Linked DNA regions of Arabidopsis thaliana. The protein of the gene in region 2 purifies or fractionates together with the protein of the main gene of each other region. This does not show direct contact. Each region holds a gene or a part of one and is shown on either strand. Other genes may lie near its edges.

Region 1 (5,442 bases), on a different chromosome or scaffold from region 2:
GTTGACTTACGATTACCAGTAAGAACATTTCCTTGCATCACAACAATAAAGTATTTGAATGTAAATGTTTAGTTGTGTGATACTAATAAATATAGCAGGTTTGTTCAGTTTGGTGCAGATCAAGATTGCTACTGTGGTGCAGTGTGTTGCAGAAAAAAGCTAGGTGCAAAACCTTGCAAAACTAAGAACACAACCTTAGAAGAAGCTGTGAAGCCAGTGGCATGTAAAGTGACCTGGAAAACGCCCAAGGTAAATTTGAGCTTTGCCTTACTTTTTTTTAGTCATCCTGTGATTGCTAAACAGTAACTTGTCCTTTCAAACATATGGTTAGGGAAAAACTCGAGGGAGACGCATTGCTGGTTAGTATTAATTATTTGGCTCGATTATCGACAAGCTTCTCAATTCAGAGGTAAGAGAAACCAATTTGGATGCGTCAGGACAAGCTTGGAACAATCATAGCCAGAGGAAAATATGTTGCCGGGACTGCATTGGTGCGGTGATCTGGTTAGCACGTCCCATGAACCAAAAGTATAACTATCTTTCTTTTTTTCTCAAAAACCAATTTCTTCCACACCAAAGAACAGTATTACACGGCTCAGATGAAGGTTTTGACTCTAGTAGTTGACATTTTTCAGGTGTTTTGGAATCATTACACAATATGATGAGTTTTAAATAAGCACTTGGTATCTATTCATTTGACTTATTGCCAACACTGTTGTTCACATTCTATCTCAGTTTACGAAATCTAAAGAATGAACATTGACTTTGTCCAGGTCATGTATGAGGATGGTGTTACCGAGATCATCGACATGTGCAGAGAAGTTTGGAAGGTTGTAACTGCTTGATATTGTGACTGTTCCAAGTCTGATTTCATTCCCTTACATAGGATTACACTTGAATTGTCAAGAAATTTTGTAACCAACCAAACCGTGTCGGTTGGCAAATAGGTTTAGACTTTGTTGTTGTATGTATCCAACTTGAATCAGTAGTTCAGTAGTACATTACACTGTATGTGGAATCTTTGGACCAAATAAAGAAAAGTGTTTTTGGATTTTAAACCGGGGTTTTGGTTATTTAAGAGACAAAAAATCTCATACCCGGTTTGCTCTGTCTATAACTCGAGTTTGTTAAGCACGTGATTCTCCTTGGCAATGCTGCTATATCACTAGCCTACTGTCCGTTGTAGCGGATGATACCCACGCGCCGGTGACCGACAGTGGATTTGCCGTTACCGGTGGTAGGTAATGTGGGGTCGTAGCTCACCTACCTAACTAAATTTTCTTTTTCTTATGTTTAGTTGGAAAATAAGAAAAATATAAAAACTAGTTTTTTGTAAAGGAAAAGGATAAAATTACTATTATGGAAAAGATAAATTCCAAAAGTGAGGAAATATGTATTTAGCACAATAAAAAGTGATAGCAATGTGAGAAAAAAAACGTGATAACAGAAATGCTGTGCTAAATTTGGATTTCTTTGTTGAAAATATATTTACATTGATAAATATTATGTAATTAGAAAAAGGAAAATTCAAAATAGATGTGTAGAAAAACAACAATGTTGATAATATAATTTTTTATCTAAAGTTTTTACCGGTTACCAGTTACCACCAAAGTTGTTGGATCTCTATCTTCATTTTTAGAGATTAGTATAAATGAGTGAGTAAACAAACCAGAGAGACCAAACTTGCCTCTCCACCACCACTTCCTCTACCTATCTAATTCCGAATCTGGATTTGGATTTGGATCTCATTTCGATTCAACGATGAAGGTGGTTGATAAGATCAAATCCGTGACGGAGCAAGGCCAAACAGCTTTCTCCTTCGAGTTTTTCCCACCGAAGACAGAAGATGGCGTCGAGAATCTCTTTGAACGAATGGATCGATTGGTCTCTTATGGACCTACCTTCTGCGATATCACTTGGGGTGCTGGTGGATCCACAGCTGATCTCACTCTCGAGATTGCTTCTAGGATGCAGAATGTTATCTGCGTCGAGACTATGATGCATCTCACTTGTACCAACATGCCGATTGAGAAGATTGATCACGCGCTTGAGACGATTAGATCTAATGGAATTCAGAATGTGCTTGCTCTTAGAGGAGATCCTCCTCATGGACAAGATAAGTTTGTTCAGGTTGAAGGAGGATTTGCTTGTGCTTTGGATCTGGTGAATCACATTCGTAGCAAGTATGGTGATTACTTTGGAATCACTGTTGCTGGTTATCCTGGTAATCAAAATGCTCCCTTTTAATCAATTTCATTGTTGGTTTCGTTGTTGTGATTTTGATCTCTAATTGGGGATTTGTGTGTTATGAATCAGAGGCTCATCCGGATGTTATTGAAGCTGATGGACTTGCTACTCCTGAATCTTATCAGAGTGATCTTGCTTACTTGAAGAAAAAGGTTCAGATTTGTGTCTTGGTTTTGAATTTTGTGTGTTGAATTGTTTGTGTTGTCTTGATTTGATGGGTTTAGTGGATTGTGGCTTGTGGTACAGGTTGATGCTGGAGCAGATTTGATTGTGACTCAGCTTTTCTATGATACTGATATATTCCTCAAGTTTGTGAATGATTGTCGGCAAATCGGGATTAATTGTCCCATTGTTCCTGGAATTATGCCTATTTCCAACTACAAGGGGTTCTTGCGTATGGCTGGTTTCTGTAAGACCAAGGTATGTTGTGATCTCTTTCATCTGTGTGATGATATGGCTTGCTCTGTAGACACATGTCGTCTTTGTGCTTAAAGGCTTTAAGATGAGATTGAGTTTACTGCATCTATCTAGTTGCTTGGTGATATATATATAGACCCTTGGTGATGATGCCTTATGACTAATGTGTTCAGATATCATTTTTCTTTGATTTATATTCCACTCATGATTCTATTATTGCATAGATACCCGCTGAGCTCACTGCTGCCTTAGAGCCTATTAAGGATAATGACGAGGCTGTTAAAGCCTATGGAATTCACTTTGCAACAGAAATGTGCAAAAAGATTTTGGCCCATGGAATCACTTCCCTTCATCTCTACACATTGAACGTGGACAAATCAGCTATTGGGATATTAATGGTTTTCTTCTCATTTCCTTCTAAATTGGTTTCTGTGTAGTAATATTTAACACATGGTATTGTGTATACCGGAGAACCTAACAGTGGTGCTCAAATTGCAGAACCTTGGTCTGATTGATGAGTCAAAAATTTCTCGTTCTCTACCTTGGAGACGCCCTGCAAATGTTTTCCGTACTAAGGAAGATGTTCGCCCAATTTTCTGGTAACCTGCATTTTGTTTCTCTTGCTCGGAGTATTATTACAGATCTTTAACTTTAAGATATATTTGCGGAGGAATAATACTGTTACTTCATTTTTTATCTTTGCAGGGCAAACCGTCCAAAGAGCTACATATCTAGAACAAAGGGCTGGAATGACTTCCCACATGGACGTTGGGGTGATTCACACAGTGCAGCATACAGTACACTTTCGGATTATCAGGTACGTACCACATATTTATCAGTTTTCTGACATATCGACTTTATATTTTGAAAACTTGAATTCTGAAAGGCTTGTTTTCAGTTTGCCTTCTCAATTTGCTTAAATTGTATTTGCATATTGTTATTTAGCCCTACCATTATCACTTGTAAGAAGCTGCTTGCTTTGCTTGCCATCTCTTCTGCGTTTTTCATTGCCAATGAGTAGTGCTGATATAAATGCATGTGTTGATAGTTTGCGCGCCCAAAAGGACGTGACAAGAAGCTTCAGCAAGAATGGGTCGTCCCACTGAAAAGCATTGAAGATGTTCAAGAGGTAGGCTTTACTTTACGGACACTCGTACAAATTGTTTCGATCTCTTTCCCTCATACTCACTTGCACATTTTCATGTAAAAACTGTCACAAATCAGAAATTCAAAGAGCTCTGCATTGGAAACTTAAAAAGCAGCCCATGGTCTGAATTAGATGGACTCCAGCCAGAGACAAAGATCATAAATGAGCAACTCGGAAAAATCAACTCCAACGGTTTCCTGACCATTAATAGCCAACCATCAGTCAATGCAGCCAAATCCGATTCTCCAGCTATTGGTAAGAAAACTCAAACTTGTGATCACAAAGCATACCATAACGTTCCAAAAAAAAAAATCTTATTTGACTTGTGATTCATCTGTCATTTCTTAAAAACCTATTTAAACCCTCTAGAGCTTCTGTCTTAGCTTATAACATAATGTTTAAATTGCATTGGGAATATCTACTTGGCTTATAACAAAAATGTATAATTGCAATTGATACTTTGCAGGATGGGGTGGTCCTGGTGGTTACGTCTACCAGAAAGCTTATCTGGAGTTCTTCTGTTCAAAGGATAAGTTAGACACACTTGTGGAGAAATCCAAAGCTTTTCCTTCTATCACCTACATGGCCGTGAACAAATCAGAGAATTGGGTATCAAACACCGGTGAGTCCGATGTGAATGCAGTTACTTGGGGAGTGTTCCCAGCTAAGGAGGTTATTCAACCGACGATCGTGGATCCAGCCAGTTTCAAAGTCTGGAAAGACGAAGCGTTTGAGATTTGGTCAAGAAGCTGGGCTAACTTGTACCCAGAAGATGACCCTTCTAGAAAGTTGCTCGAGGAGGTAAAGAATCTTCTTCTTTTTTCTTCTCTTCTTTTCAGTGACCAGATTGGTTTAGCTGTAATGATGATGGTATGATCCAATCGAATATGCAGGTGAAGAACAGCTACTATTTGGTAAGCTTAGTGGACAACAATTACATCAATGGTGATATCTTCTCTGTCTTTGCTTGATCTCCGAGAAAACCACCGGCGAAGAGGAAACATTCGATTTCGAGATTTGTTTTGTACCTTTTAAAGTTATTTTTGATTCGTAATAACCTTACTTTGATGAATCAACAAAAACATCAGTTTGATTGCAATGAAAAAAATCGCCTTAGCGGTTTGTTCTTTCTCTCTTGTGTCAAAACAACATCACAAAATAGCTTTTAACAGAAATCAAGAAATGTTGGCATTTCTTAAAGACTTGGAAGTAACAAGACCAGAAGATGTCCGCATCAAATGCTCCTTAAGCATTGAAACACCAGACGCATCTGTCTTCAAAAGTGGTTGCACCAATTCCCACATCTTCTTCTTTTGAACCTGAAACAACAAAGAAAACACAGAACTTGAATATGCCATGACTTAAGTCTTGCAGTACTGAAATGATTAGTGCTTTGCAGGCTAAATGACCTTATTAGGAGGTGCAGGTTCAGGAAGCTGCTCGAGATCTTCTTCGTTACCAAACCAAACTCTATCTCCAGGAACAGAGCCTTCTGGTGGAACAAGAAGCTCAACATTTTCATGAGCTGCGTCAGATGCAGCTAAAAGCATACCACATGACTTAACCCCTCTCATATTCCTCGGCTTCAGATTAGCCAGCACCACCACTGATGCACCCTGCACAGAACCAAA
Region 2 (5,108 bases):
GTAGCCCATTTCAGGACCTATTTTTCGCAAAAAACAACATAATGCAGCATGTACATTTTTTTTTTAGCATATACTTTTTTTTTTACATTTGGTTTGATTATTTTTCAATTGACATATACCTTCCTTTTTTTTTAGCAAAAAATACATTACTTTGTAGAGACGATATTTGTTTATGTTAACTATATTTTTTCCCTATCAAAGTGTAGTGTTTATGAGGTATTTTGGATCATCCTAGTAATCTAGCTAGCTACTTCTATAATATACGAAGTACCGAACATTTGATAATGATGTTTCAATTTCATACGTTTGTTCCTAGTTCGTGTTAATAATTTCGAACGGACGGTCTATTACTGTATATATAGTCGAATCTTATACGAAAACATTATGGAGAAAAAAAAGTCATGACACAATAATCCCTTCTTTTTATCTATCTATTAAAAGAAAAGTTGGTAGAGATAAACAAGTAAATGCTAAAATGAATTTTCTATAAAGAAACAAAAAGAAATACGTTTACGTATCGATAATGTCTATGCACTATGAAAATATATATATTTGGTTATGCATGAAAAGATGTTTGGAAATCCCAAATTTTTTTAAAGGTTTTTCGTACTTCTAACTATGAAAACGTGATAATCAATGTGCATTAGCATTTTTTTAACGCTCATATAAGTTTCCATAGCTAACTAAACCAGTTTCTGTCAGTTTTGTATAAATTTGTCGTCATTTGTTTTTTTAAAAAAGCTTTGTGTCAACAAAAAAAAAAGCTATAAAAAACCAACACTTTTTAACACAGAACAATTACATAGTATATAAATCTTGAAAAACTTGAAACTACCTAGTAATAAGGAGATTATGGCTAAAATATAGCCTTGTCCATCGAATTGTTCTGTTTTTGTAAGGTTGGATCCAAAGTCCAAACTGAGTTATACGTATTGTAACTGTGTAACATTGTCATCAAGATCATATCTTAGTGATAACAAGAAATATTATTAGTATAGAATGATGACTAATATATGATCTTATCTCTATACAAACACATAATAACAATTAAAAACGTAATCTTTAATGCCAACACACAAAGTTGACACTATCTTATACCATAATTACTAGTAAATTATCCTACTAATATTTGTATAGAATAACGATAAATAAGCAAAATAATCACCTATTTTTAGTGTGGTAGGTGAACCACTCAAATCTCTTCAAAATAATCAGGACGTAATACTTTTCTCTTACGCCTTCAATGCCGTACCACACTTTTTAAATCTCCATTCACACTTTTTTCTTATTATAATCTCTATTCACACTTAAAAATCGTTATTTTCTATGATGTTAATTTTAAATATATTTCTGTAAAATATTCCAGTTTATGTACTAGTGATTATATATGTAAATTTGTCACAGAAAAAAAAAATCCAATAAATGACAGAAATATAATGAAATAAAAACATATTTGAATATTGTACTAGTATTAGTGTATTACTATGTCTTTTATTAGCGTAATATCTATGATACTAAAACTACAACTACAACTATAACTCCGAAGATTATGGTATGGTACTACTAAGTACTAAGTAAAATAATTCTAAAATAATATATAGAAATGAATGATTAAAATGATATTGTAGTATTATTAGTGTCGACACGAGTTTTGATTTGACTCTTGTGTAGACGACAAGTGGGGAACGAATGTGATATTTTTATCCCTGAAATGGTTCTTTCTTATGTTCGTTAAATGCGAAATCATTACTCGTGTGCTTCCATAAACAGAGTTCTCACACCAATACAAAAGAGACCATCACCGTGAGAAAGAGAAGAAGAACAAAAAAAGTTAGCCATGGCATCAAGAAGAGTTTCTTCGCTGCTCTCTCGCTCTTTCATGTCCTCCTCACGTTCTATCTTCTCTCTTAGAGGTATCTAAATGCGATCCGATCCATTTGTAGAGCCATTGCTTCTCTGTCATAGTTATCTTGATAATGATCGAGATCGTTCTGTTTTCATTGTCTCTGTTAACTTTCATACGGATCAATGATCTCCGAGTTTTTCGGATTTTGTGGTTACTTGTCGATGGATTTGATGATCTTGGTCTCATTTAGATCGAATCTATGCGTTCTTGTTTGTTTCTTTAGGCATGAACAGAGGAGCTCAAAGATACAGTAACCTCGCTGCTGCTGTCGAAAACACTATTACTCCACCAGTGAAAGTTGAACACACACAGCTTCTAATCGGTGGAAGATTCGTTGATGCAGTGTCAGGTAAGAAATGTTTAGCCTTGTCAATATCTTAAGCTCGTAAAAATATTGAGACTAGATTGTTTAAAAACTACAGGAAAAACTTTCCCTACTTTGGATCCAAGAAATGGAGAAGTGATTGCTCAAGTGTCTGAAGGTGATGCAGAAGACGTGAACCGCGCGGTTGCAGCTGCACGAAAGGCTTTTGATGAAGGACCATGGCCTAAAATGACAGCTTATGTATATAACAAAGTTGTTTTGTGCTTATCTTCTGTGTTTTATTTGTGCTTTTGACATGACTCTTAGCTTTGTTAATTTCTTCAGGAGAGATCAAAGATACTGTTTCGTTTCGCTGATTTAATCGAGAAACATAATGATGAGATTGCTGCTCTTGAGACTTGGGATAATGGGAAACCTTATGAACAATCTGCTCAAATTGAAGTACCAATGCTTGCTAGGGTGTTCCGGTACTATGCTGGTGAGTGAAACCACTGATGCATATTGTATACCTTAATGACTTTTTCATGATCTTTGTAAGGATTTTTGTATGTTGTTCTTCGATGAGTTTCTCAGGTTGGGCAGACAAGATACATGGAATGACAATGCCAGGAGATGGTCCACACCATGTGCAGACCTTACATGAGCCTATAGGAGTCGCTGGACAAATCATCCCATGGAACTTCCCTCTTCTCATGCTTTCTTGGAAACTTGGACCAGCTTTAGCTTGCGGTAACACCGTTGTTCTCAAAACTGCTGAGCAAACTCCTCTATCTGCTCTTCTTGTTGGGAAACTACTTCATGAGGTAACAATGTGCTCTTCAGTGAGATTCTGTTTTATTGATGTTATGTTTTGCTCAAGTAACTGAAATTTTATGACACAGGCTGGACTTCCTGATGGAGTTGTGAATATAGTTTCTGGATTTGGGGCTACTGCTGGTGCAGCTATAGCTAGTCACATGGACGTTGATAAGGTTTAAAAGACAAACTTTGAAAAATTATCCTATTAAAAGGCAAAAGTTATGCCTTCTATAGAGTTTCTGATAAATCCTCTGCACTCTACAGGTTGCTTTCACCGGGTCTACTGATGTTGGGAAGATTATTCTTGAGTTAGCTTCAAAAAGCAACCTTAAGGCAGTGACTCTTGAGCTTGGAGGAAAGTCACCATTCATTGTATGTGAAGATGCTGATGTGGATCAGGCCGTTGAGCTTGCACATTTCGCTTTGTTCTTTAACCAGGTACTGTTTTTTTTATGGTTTCATGGTTCTACAGTCTTTAGAATCTAGCCTTTTCTGATAGGTATAACTGTAGGGACAATGTTGTTGTGCTGGTTCGCGTACATTTGTACATGAACGTGTGTATGATGAGTTTGTAGAGAAAGCTAAAGCTCGTGCACTCAAGCGAAATGTTGGAGATCCCTTCAAGTCAGGCATTGAGCAAGGTCCCCAGGTAGTCATACCATCATTTAGAAACCGTAGCCTAACCATGTTGTCGGTGATAAACAGAACAACATTTCAACTTGTATTGGAACAAAAAAACAGGTAGACTCAGAGCAATTCAACAAAATCCTGAAGTACATCAAACATGGAGTTGAGGCTGGAGCCACATTACAAGCTGGAGGTGACAGGCTTGGTTCCAAGGGTTACTACATTCAACCTACTGTCTTCTCAGATGTGAAAGTAAGTAAACCGATTATTACCGTCACAGTTTTCTTGCGAAAATCGATTTATATGGACCATGTTGAACTTTGCAGGATGACATGCTCATAGCAACAGACGAGATTTTCGGGCCGGTTCAAACCATACTGAAATTCAAGTACAAATCTAAATGCTAAACCAAAAACTTTCTCTTTGTTGACATTTTCTGATTAAACTTTACTAATGGCTTTTGATGTTTCTTAGGGATCTTGATGAGGTGATTGCAAGGGCCAACAACTCAAGGTACGGTTTAGCTGCTGGAGTGTTCACACAGAATCTTGACACAGCACACCGGCTGATGCGAGCACTCAGAGTTGGGACTGTTTGGATCAACTGTTTTGATGTACTTGATGCATCAATTCCATTTGGAGGGTATAAGATGAGTGGCATTGGTAGAGAGAAAGGTATCTACAGTCTCAACAATTACTTGCAAGTCAAGGCTGTTGTTACTTCCCTCAAGAACCCTGCCTGGCTCTAAACCATACCAGGTGGTTACACTTATTTCTCGAGTTTGGTTTATGATTTGCACTTTTGCTTTGAAAACCTGGAGTTGTACTGTGTCTCTAGGATTTCTAGATTTTGAGAGTAATTTATCTTCAATACATTTTGCAAATAAAGCTACATGACAATGTGTGATTAATAAACACAAACTCTTATTAGTTTCATTGATGTGTACATGAACTTGACTAATAACAATAGAATCCATGAATAAATCTCTCTATAAGCAGTGGAAACTGAAAGCCTTTTCACAGTAGACGTAGAAGGAACAACTTAACATCTCAAAATCGCGCTTATGGTCTAAGGATTCTTCAACTTGATTCTGAGCTTTCTAGTGATATGTGATGCTTTTGGATGAACTGGTCGTTTCGTGTTATCAGCAGAATGTTCTTCTTCCACCCAGTTTACAACTTTGAGAATCAGAGACTGTGGAACCTTCTTAACATCTGCATCACTTGTGCCTTTACATTTCTTCATCCCTTTCTCCAGAGCCTTTTCTATAAACTCCATGAACCAATTTGCAGCTTCTTTCTCTATCTCTTTAACCAACCTCGCCGTGTTTCCTAATCCGGAAAGAGAAACTGCGGGGTTCTTGTTCTCATCGTTTGATCTCTTTTGCTGCTGCTTCAGGAGAATTCTTCTCTTTGATGTTGTTTTCTCCTGATCAATAGAGTTATGCTGGAT
Region 3 (5,645 bases), on a different chromosome or scaffold from region 2:
TCTATAACTATCCCCGGTAACCGGAAATACACGACCCTGGAATGTGCTTATGCTTGCTGCAATGTAGCGACACTGACCTCGTTATCCCAGCTGGTGAATGATGCCCTAATAGTCTCTAAGCAAAAAGGTTTCGATGTGTTTTATGCCTCGGATGTGATGCAGAATGAGAGTTTCTTGAAAGAGTTGAGGTTTTATCCACTATGTCGACAGTCGCACTACTATCTCTACAATTACCGTTTGAGAAATGCATTGAAGCCATCAGAACTTGGGCTTATTCTTTAGTTTTGTTAAAACCACTGTTCCCGCTCCCCAATGTGAACAAACTATGATCATTAAACCAATGTGTAGCCTAAGATTCCTCTTCCTGGATATCATTTGCAAGTATTATAAACAAAAGTTTAAAGCCTTTTTATCTTTTTGCGTGTCTTTTTGTAGTTTTCCTCTGAACTATCAACACAAACAAAATTTGCCGAAGAATTGTTTGGTTTTGGATCTTTAAGGTAGTGAAACTGATGCCTTTTTATCAATAACATTACTTGCACATCAATACTGTTATGGTAGACAGATGTAAAAAACAAAATCCCAATATTTTAGAGAAAGTACAAAAGCAAATCTTGAAAGCAGTAGGAAACCGATATACTGTAGTTGTCTCTTGATTTTCTCAAAGATCAGCAAACACCGCGAATATGTCACCATTGATGTAATCGTTCTCCACCAAGCTTACCAAATAGTAGCTGTTCTTCACCTGCATTTTTGGATCAAAATGTCCATTAGTCATTTTAAATAAACCATTGTCAAAAACAATAACAAATATGATCAGATCAAGAAAAATATAGAACTTACCTCCTCGAGCAAGTTTCTGGAAGGGTCGGCTTCTGGGTACAAGTTAGCCCAGCTTCTTGACCAAGTCTCAAATGCTTCATCCTTCCAGACGTTGAAGCTAGCGGGATCGACAATGGTTGGTTGAATGATTTCCTTAGCCGGGAAAACTCCCCAAGTTACAGCATTCACATCAGCTTGGGCAGTGTTCGATACCCACTGTTCTCCTTTGTTCACAGCCATGTAAGTAATCGATGGCAAAGCTTTGCATTTCTCCACCACTGCATCTAATTTCTCCTTTGAGCAGAAGAACTCTAGATAAGCCTTTTGGTATACATATCCAACAGGACCTCCCCATCCTGCAAATCATACACAAGCACAAGTATCGATCAATCACGAATCAAAACTCTGTTTGCTATGAGAACAGAGATATAACAGGACTGATTCCTCACCAACAGTTGGGGAATCAGATCTCTCGGCGTTGACTGATGGTTGGCTATTGATGGTCAAGAAGCCTTTGGAGTTGACTTTTATCAGTTGCTCGTTTATTATCCTTGTCTCTGGCTGGAGTCCATCTAATTCAGACCAGGGACTGCTTTTAAGGTTTCCAAGGCAGAGCTCCTTGAATTTCTGTTATGTGACAGTTTTTTTGCAAGATTATTGTAAGCGTCTGCATCTTTACAGGTGAAAGTGAGGGAAATGTGTGGTAGTGAAAAAATTGTTCTACCTCCTGAATATCTTCAACACTTTTCAGTGGGACAACCCATTCTTGTTGAAGCTTCTTGTCACGTGCTCGCGGACGTGAGAACTGACAACAAAAGCATTTAGTTCAGCAAACAAGCTCACAAGAAGATGTTACATTTAACAATCTAGAGCAAATCAAAAAGACCAATCGAAGAAATACCCTTCAAAACCCCTTTGTTATGAAATCTTGAAAGAGAGTTGTGCAATTACAGATGATGTATTGTAGTACCTGATGATCCGAGAGTGCACCATATGAAGCACTGCGTGAATCACCCCACCGGCCTTGTGGGAAATCTTCCCAGCCCTTGGTTCTAGAAATGTAGCTCTTTGGACGGTTTGCCCTTCAAAAGATTAGAAGAAAGAACAAGTCTTATTTTCCCTGCAGAGTAAAATATGTGGCTAAGTATAATCAGAACGAGAGAAACTAAGCTCTGTTACCAGAAAATGGGGCGCACATCTTCCTTAGTACGGAAAACATTTGCAGGGCGTCTCCAGGGTAAAGAACGAGAAATTTTGGACTCATCAATCATACCAAGATTCTGAAACAACAACAAAATAGTAAAGCTACTCCACTATCAGTATCATGCTTTACATCAAGTAGAAAAAGTGAGGACCAACCATCAATATTGCAAGAGCAGATTTCTCCATGTTCAATGTGTAGAGATGAAGAGACTTGACTCCATGAGCCAACATCTTTTTACACATCTCTGTTCCAAGGTGAATACCATAGGCTTTCACAGCTTCTTCGTTATCCTTGATAGGCTCCAAGGCAGCCATCACCTCAACTGGTATCTACATTAATATAATCATATGTAAATTCATCTATCTTTTTTTCACAAAAAGCACAGCTGGTATCTACATTAATATAAAGAATTCTCTTTGAATAGCTATCCAACAAACACTTTCTCTGAAAACAATAATATAATCAAGTATCTCAATTTCATCTAGCTGATCACGAAACCTTAAATACACTTTTTTAAAAACATATCCTAAGCTAGCAAACAAACACCTTTATGGAAAGGCAACAAGCAATATCATTCATCTCCTAAAAGGTGATTCATTTGCAGGAACTGGTGTTTACTAAACGATCAAAACTTACCTTAGTCTTGCAGAAACCAGTCATACGCAAAAAGCCTCTGTAGTTATTAATAGGCATAATTCCAGGAACAATGGGACAACTAATCCCAATTTGCCGACAATCATTCACAAACTTGAGGAATATATCAGTATCATAGAAAAGCTGAGTAACAATCAGATCAGCTCCAGCATCAATCTGTTCCAAGACAAACCCAAATTCAAAAATTGATGCAGACATTTAAGAACAAAGCAAAACAAAAACAAACAAAACAAACCTTTTTCTTCAGATACTCAAGATCACTCTGATAAGCTTCATTAGACGCAAGACCATTCTCACCAATAACATCAGGATGCGCCTCTGAAATATCAAAACACATAAAAATCCAATCTTTAGCTACAAATCACACGAAACAAAGAAATCAAATTCGAATTCGAGACATTACCAGGATAACCAGCGACAGTGATACCAAAGTAATCACCATACTTGCTACGAATGTGATTAACAAGATCCAAAGCACAATCAAAACCACCTTCAACCTGAACAAACTTATCTTGACCATGAGGAGGATCACCTCTAAGAGCAAGCACATTCTGAATCCCATTAGATCTAATAGTCTCAAGAGCATGATCAATCTTCTCAACAGGCATGTTAGTACACGTAAGATGCATCATACTCTCAACACAAACAACGTTTTGCATCCTCGAAGCTATATCAAGCGTTAGATCTGCGGTAGATCCACCAGCTCCCCAAGTGATATCGCAAAACGTTGGACCATAAGCAACCATTCGATCCATTCTCTCAAAGAGATTGTCGACTCCATCTTCTGTCTTTGGTGGGAAGAATTCGAAGGAAAACGCTGTTTTGCCTTCGTCGGCTAATGACTGGATCTTATCTATCACCTTCATCTTCTTTTCGAAATGGAGAAGAAGAATGAGAGACAAAGGCGAGTTCTTTCAGGTTCTTCTACTCACTGCTTTATAGTAAACAGAGAGATTCCAAAATGTTTGGTGAATTTTAGACTTTACCTTACCCGTCCACTTCCTTATATTATTTTCATTTTTAAGACAAAATCATACTTTAAATAAAGTATAATTACATAATTTACATTTAATCATTGTTTTGTGCGAAAATCCATGTAGTTAGACAACATGAGTTACATTTTTATGCTTGACAAAAAAAAACATTTTTATTAAAGTGTTTATTATTCAAGAGATTTACCAAACCATTCTAAAGTGAAAAAAATGAAGAATCCGAGTTATTTGATATTAAGATAGTCGAGTTGATATTAGTAAACAAGATGAGTTACATAATTATTTTAAAGGAATGTGATTAGTAAAAGATTTACCAACCACAATTAGATTTGTCGTTATCAATCCCCAACCCCTGCAGTCTATGCTTTTTGAGTTGGTGAACCAGAACCACACACCCACATCACCCACCTACTACCAAAAAACCAATGATCCATCACTTTTGTTTAACAAAAATAATCTACTTTTACCAAAAAAAAAAAAAAAAAAAAAAAATCTAATTAAAATTTTCCGTTTTTCACTTACAGTGTATCTTTAAACTTTACAAAACTTTTTCCAATTTAAAACTGTTATGTTGTTTTAGTAATTTTTCACTTGTTTAACTCATTTTGCATTTGAAGGAATTTGAAACGTTAATCGCTAAAACAAAACTGGTCAGATTTTGCAAACACCGGCTTTTGTCGGCGACACCGACACAGTCACACTCACACAGATGCACGAATAAGAACAGCACATGCAAACAAGAACAAACCGGTCTTTGGATACAAATTTTTAAAAGCTAAACCGGATATGAGATTACCGGTTCTTACAAAGTCAATTACACACCACGAAGGTTCTTGCAAGACATCATCATTTGAGATCCCCATGAAAAAAGAAGGAAGGAGAAGAAAGTACAGATGTGGTTACACAAGTAGATATATGATATCTCTTATAATGGTTGTACAAACACAGGTCACAAGTTAGACGCAACAAACAATGTCACTGCACCAATCCCAGTCAGTCAGACCCGGGTTTTTTGGGATACCTTTAGTTTACCAAGACAGGTTATTTTGGTTTCTCAACTTCAAAGCAATCTGCAGAAACATAGCAGCCAGGGTAATTTAATACTCTATGCTTCTGGGAGTTTTAATGTTTCATTAAGAGAGTGAAGAGTATAAATCACCTGAAAACAATATTAGACAATCTCCCAGTCTTCTCTCGACATGTCGACAAACTCGGTAACACCATCCTCGAACATCACCTGGACCAAGTTTAAAGATGTTAACAGAGAGGTCTTAATTGAGAATGATTTTGCCAAGTTCGATGGTGAGGAACAAGTATTGGCTAATTGTAATACCGAGTGCTTTCTTGAATACTCATCAAAATGTCTAACGAGGCCAAAACACCTGAAAATCTCAAAAGATAAAACATTGGATGAGAAAAGCATAGAATGAGTCATAAAACTAATCCACGAGTTCAAAACTCAATAAATACCTATCACTCGTGGGGCGAGATAACCTGATCACCACACCAATGCAATTACGCGAACATGTATCCCTTTGACTAAGATTGTTCCATGATTTTCCTGGAGAAACATGGGAATCCAAATTACTTTCTTACAACCAAAACACAATAAGCTACTCTCGCAAATTGAGCAGAAAAAATCCAAACTTACCTGCATCTATGTGTCTATTTACAAGTCCATTTTGATGCACCTAACCAAAAGTGGGGAAAGAAAAAGAGTCACTTAGACCTCATCACACAAATTTTTCAGTGACTGTGAAACTATGCCAGGGCAAAGACGAGATATATATTTGATTCTTCTTTTCAGATAAAATTTGAAAATACCTTGGGCAGTGTCTGGGCCAATTCATGTGCCACTAGATTAAAAGCTTCATCCGAGGCTATCTTAGGTTTGCTAGGTTTTACACCAAGCTTCCTTCTGCAACCTACAGCCCCACAATGGCAGTCTTGATCTGCACCAAACTGAACAAACC

Evidence for each region.
Region 1: the proteins of ALDH2B7 (region 2) and MTHFR1 fractionate together in Arabidopsis thaliana (co-fractionation; one large-scale study listed by BioGRID). This does not show direct contact.
Region 3: the proteins of ALDH2B7 (region 2) and MTHFR2 fractionate together in Arabidopsis thaliana (co-fractionation; one large-scale study listed by BioGRID). This does not show direct contact.

Annotation. Positions count from the first base shown.
Region 1 is NC_003074.8:22,149,542-22,154,983, forward strand, and holds MTHFR1 (methylenetetrahydrofolate reductase 1), read left to right. Parts: upstream 1-1,622; 5' UTR 1,623-1,761; coding exon 1,762-2,224; intron 2,225-2,316; coding exon 2,317-2,399; intron 2,400-2,493; coding exon 2,494-2,667; exon of another isoform or gene 2,668-2,888; coding exon 2,889-3,062; intron 3,063-3,162; coding exon 3,163-3,263; intron 3,264-3,369; coding exon 3,370-3,481; intron 3,482-3,712; coding exon 3,713-3,793; coding exon of another isoform or gene 3,794-3,871; exon of another isoform or gene 3,872-3,888; coding exon 3,889-4,066; intron 4,067-4,277; coding exon 4,278-4,612; intron 4,613-4,702; exon of another isoform or gene 4,703-4,704; coding exon 4,705-4,782; 3' UTR 4,783-4,942; downstream 4,943-5,442. Other genes in the region: histone-lysine N-methyltransferase ASHH4, read left to right, coding at 1-18, 99-249, 332-359, 438-528, 636-672; AT3G59980 (Nucleic acid-binding, OB-fold-like protein), read right to left, coding at 4,987-5,130, 5,221-5,427. UniProt on the Arabidopsis thaliana protein: The probable reversibility of the MTHFR reaction in plants suggests that they can metabolize the methyl group of 5,10-methylenetetrahydrofolate to serine, sugars and starch.
Region 2 is NC_003070.9:8,411,534-8,416,641, reverse strand, and holds ALDH2B7 (aldehyde dehydrogenase 2B7), read left to right. Parts: upstream 1-1,755; 5' UTR 1,756-1,837; coding exon 1,838-1,913; intron 1,914-2,129; coding exon 2,130-2,255; intron 2,256-2,328; coding exon 2,329-2,471; intron 2,472-2,555; coding exon 2,556-2,709; intron 2,710-2,804; coding exon 2,805-3,034; intron 3,035-3,112; coding exon 3,113-3,202; intron 3,203-3,293; coding exon 3,294-3,467; intron 3,468-3,540; coding exon 3,541-3,678; coding exon of another isoform or gene 3,679-3,770; coding exon 3,771-3,908; intron 3,909-3,982; coding exon 3,983-4,044; intron 4,045-4,130; coding exon 4,131-4,404; 3' UTR 4,405-4,591; downstream 4,592-5,108. Other genes in the region: AT1G23790 (dicer-like protein (DUF936)), read right to left, coding at 4,725-5,108.
Region 3 is NC_003071.7:18,260,202-18,265,846, reverse strand, and holds MTHFR2 (methylenetetrahydrofolate reductase 2), read right to left. Parts: upstream 3,659-5,645; 5' UTR 3,547-3,658; coding exon 3,084-3,546; intron 2,999-3,083; coding exon 2,916-2,998; intron 2,837-2,915; coding exon 2,663-2,836; intron 2,356-2,662; coding exon 2,182-2,355; intron 2,103-2,181; coding exon 2,002-2,102; intron 1,905-2,001; coding exon 1,793-1,904; intron 1,628-1,792; coding exon 1,547-1,627; intron 1,450-1,546; coding exon 1,272-1,449; intron 1,179-1,271; coding exon 844-1,178; intron 746-843; coding exon 662-745; 3' UTR 501-661; downstream 1-500. Other genes in the region: histone-lysine N-methyltransferase ASHH3, read right to left, coding at 4,844-4,909, 5,006-5,054, 5,143-5,233, 5,324-5,363, 5,497-5,644.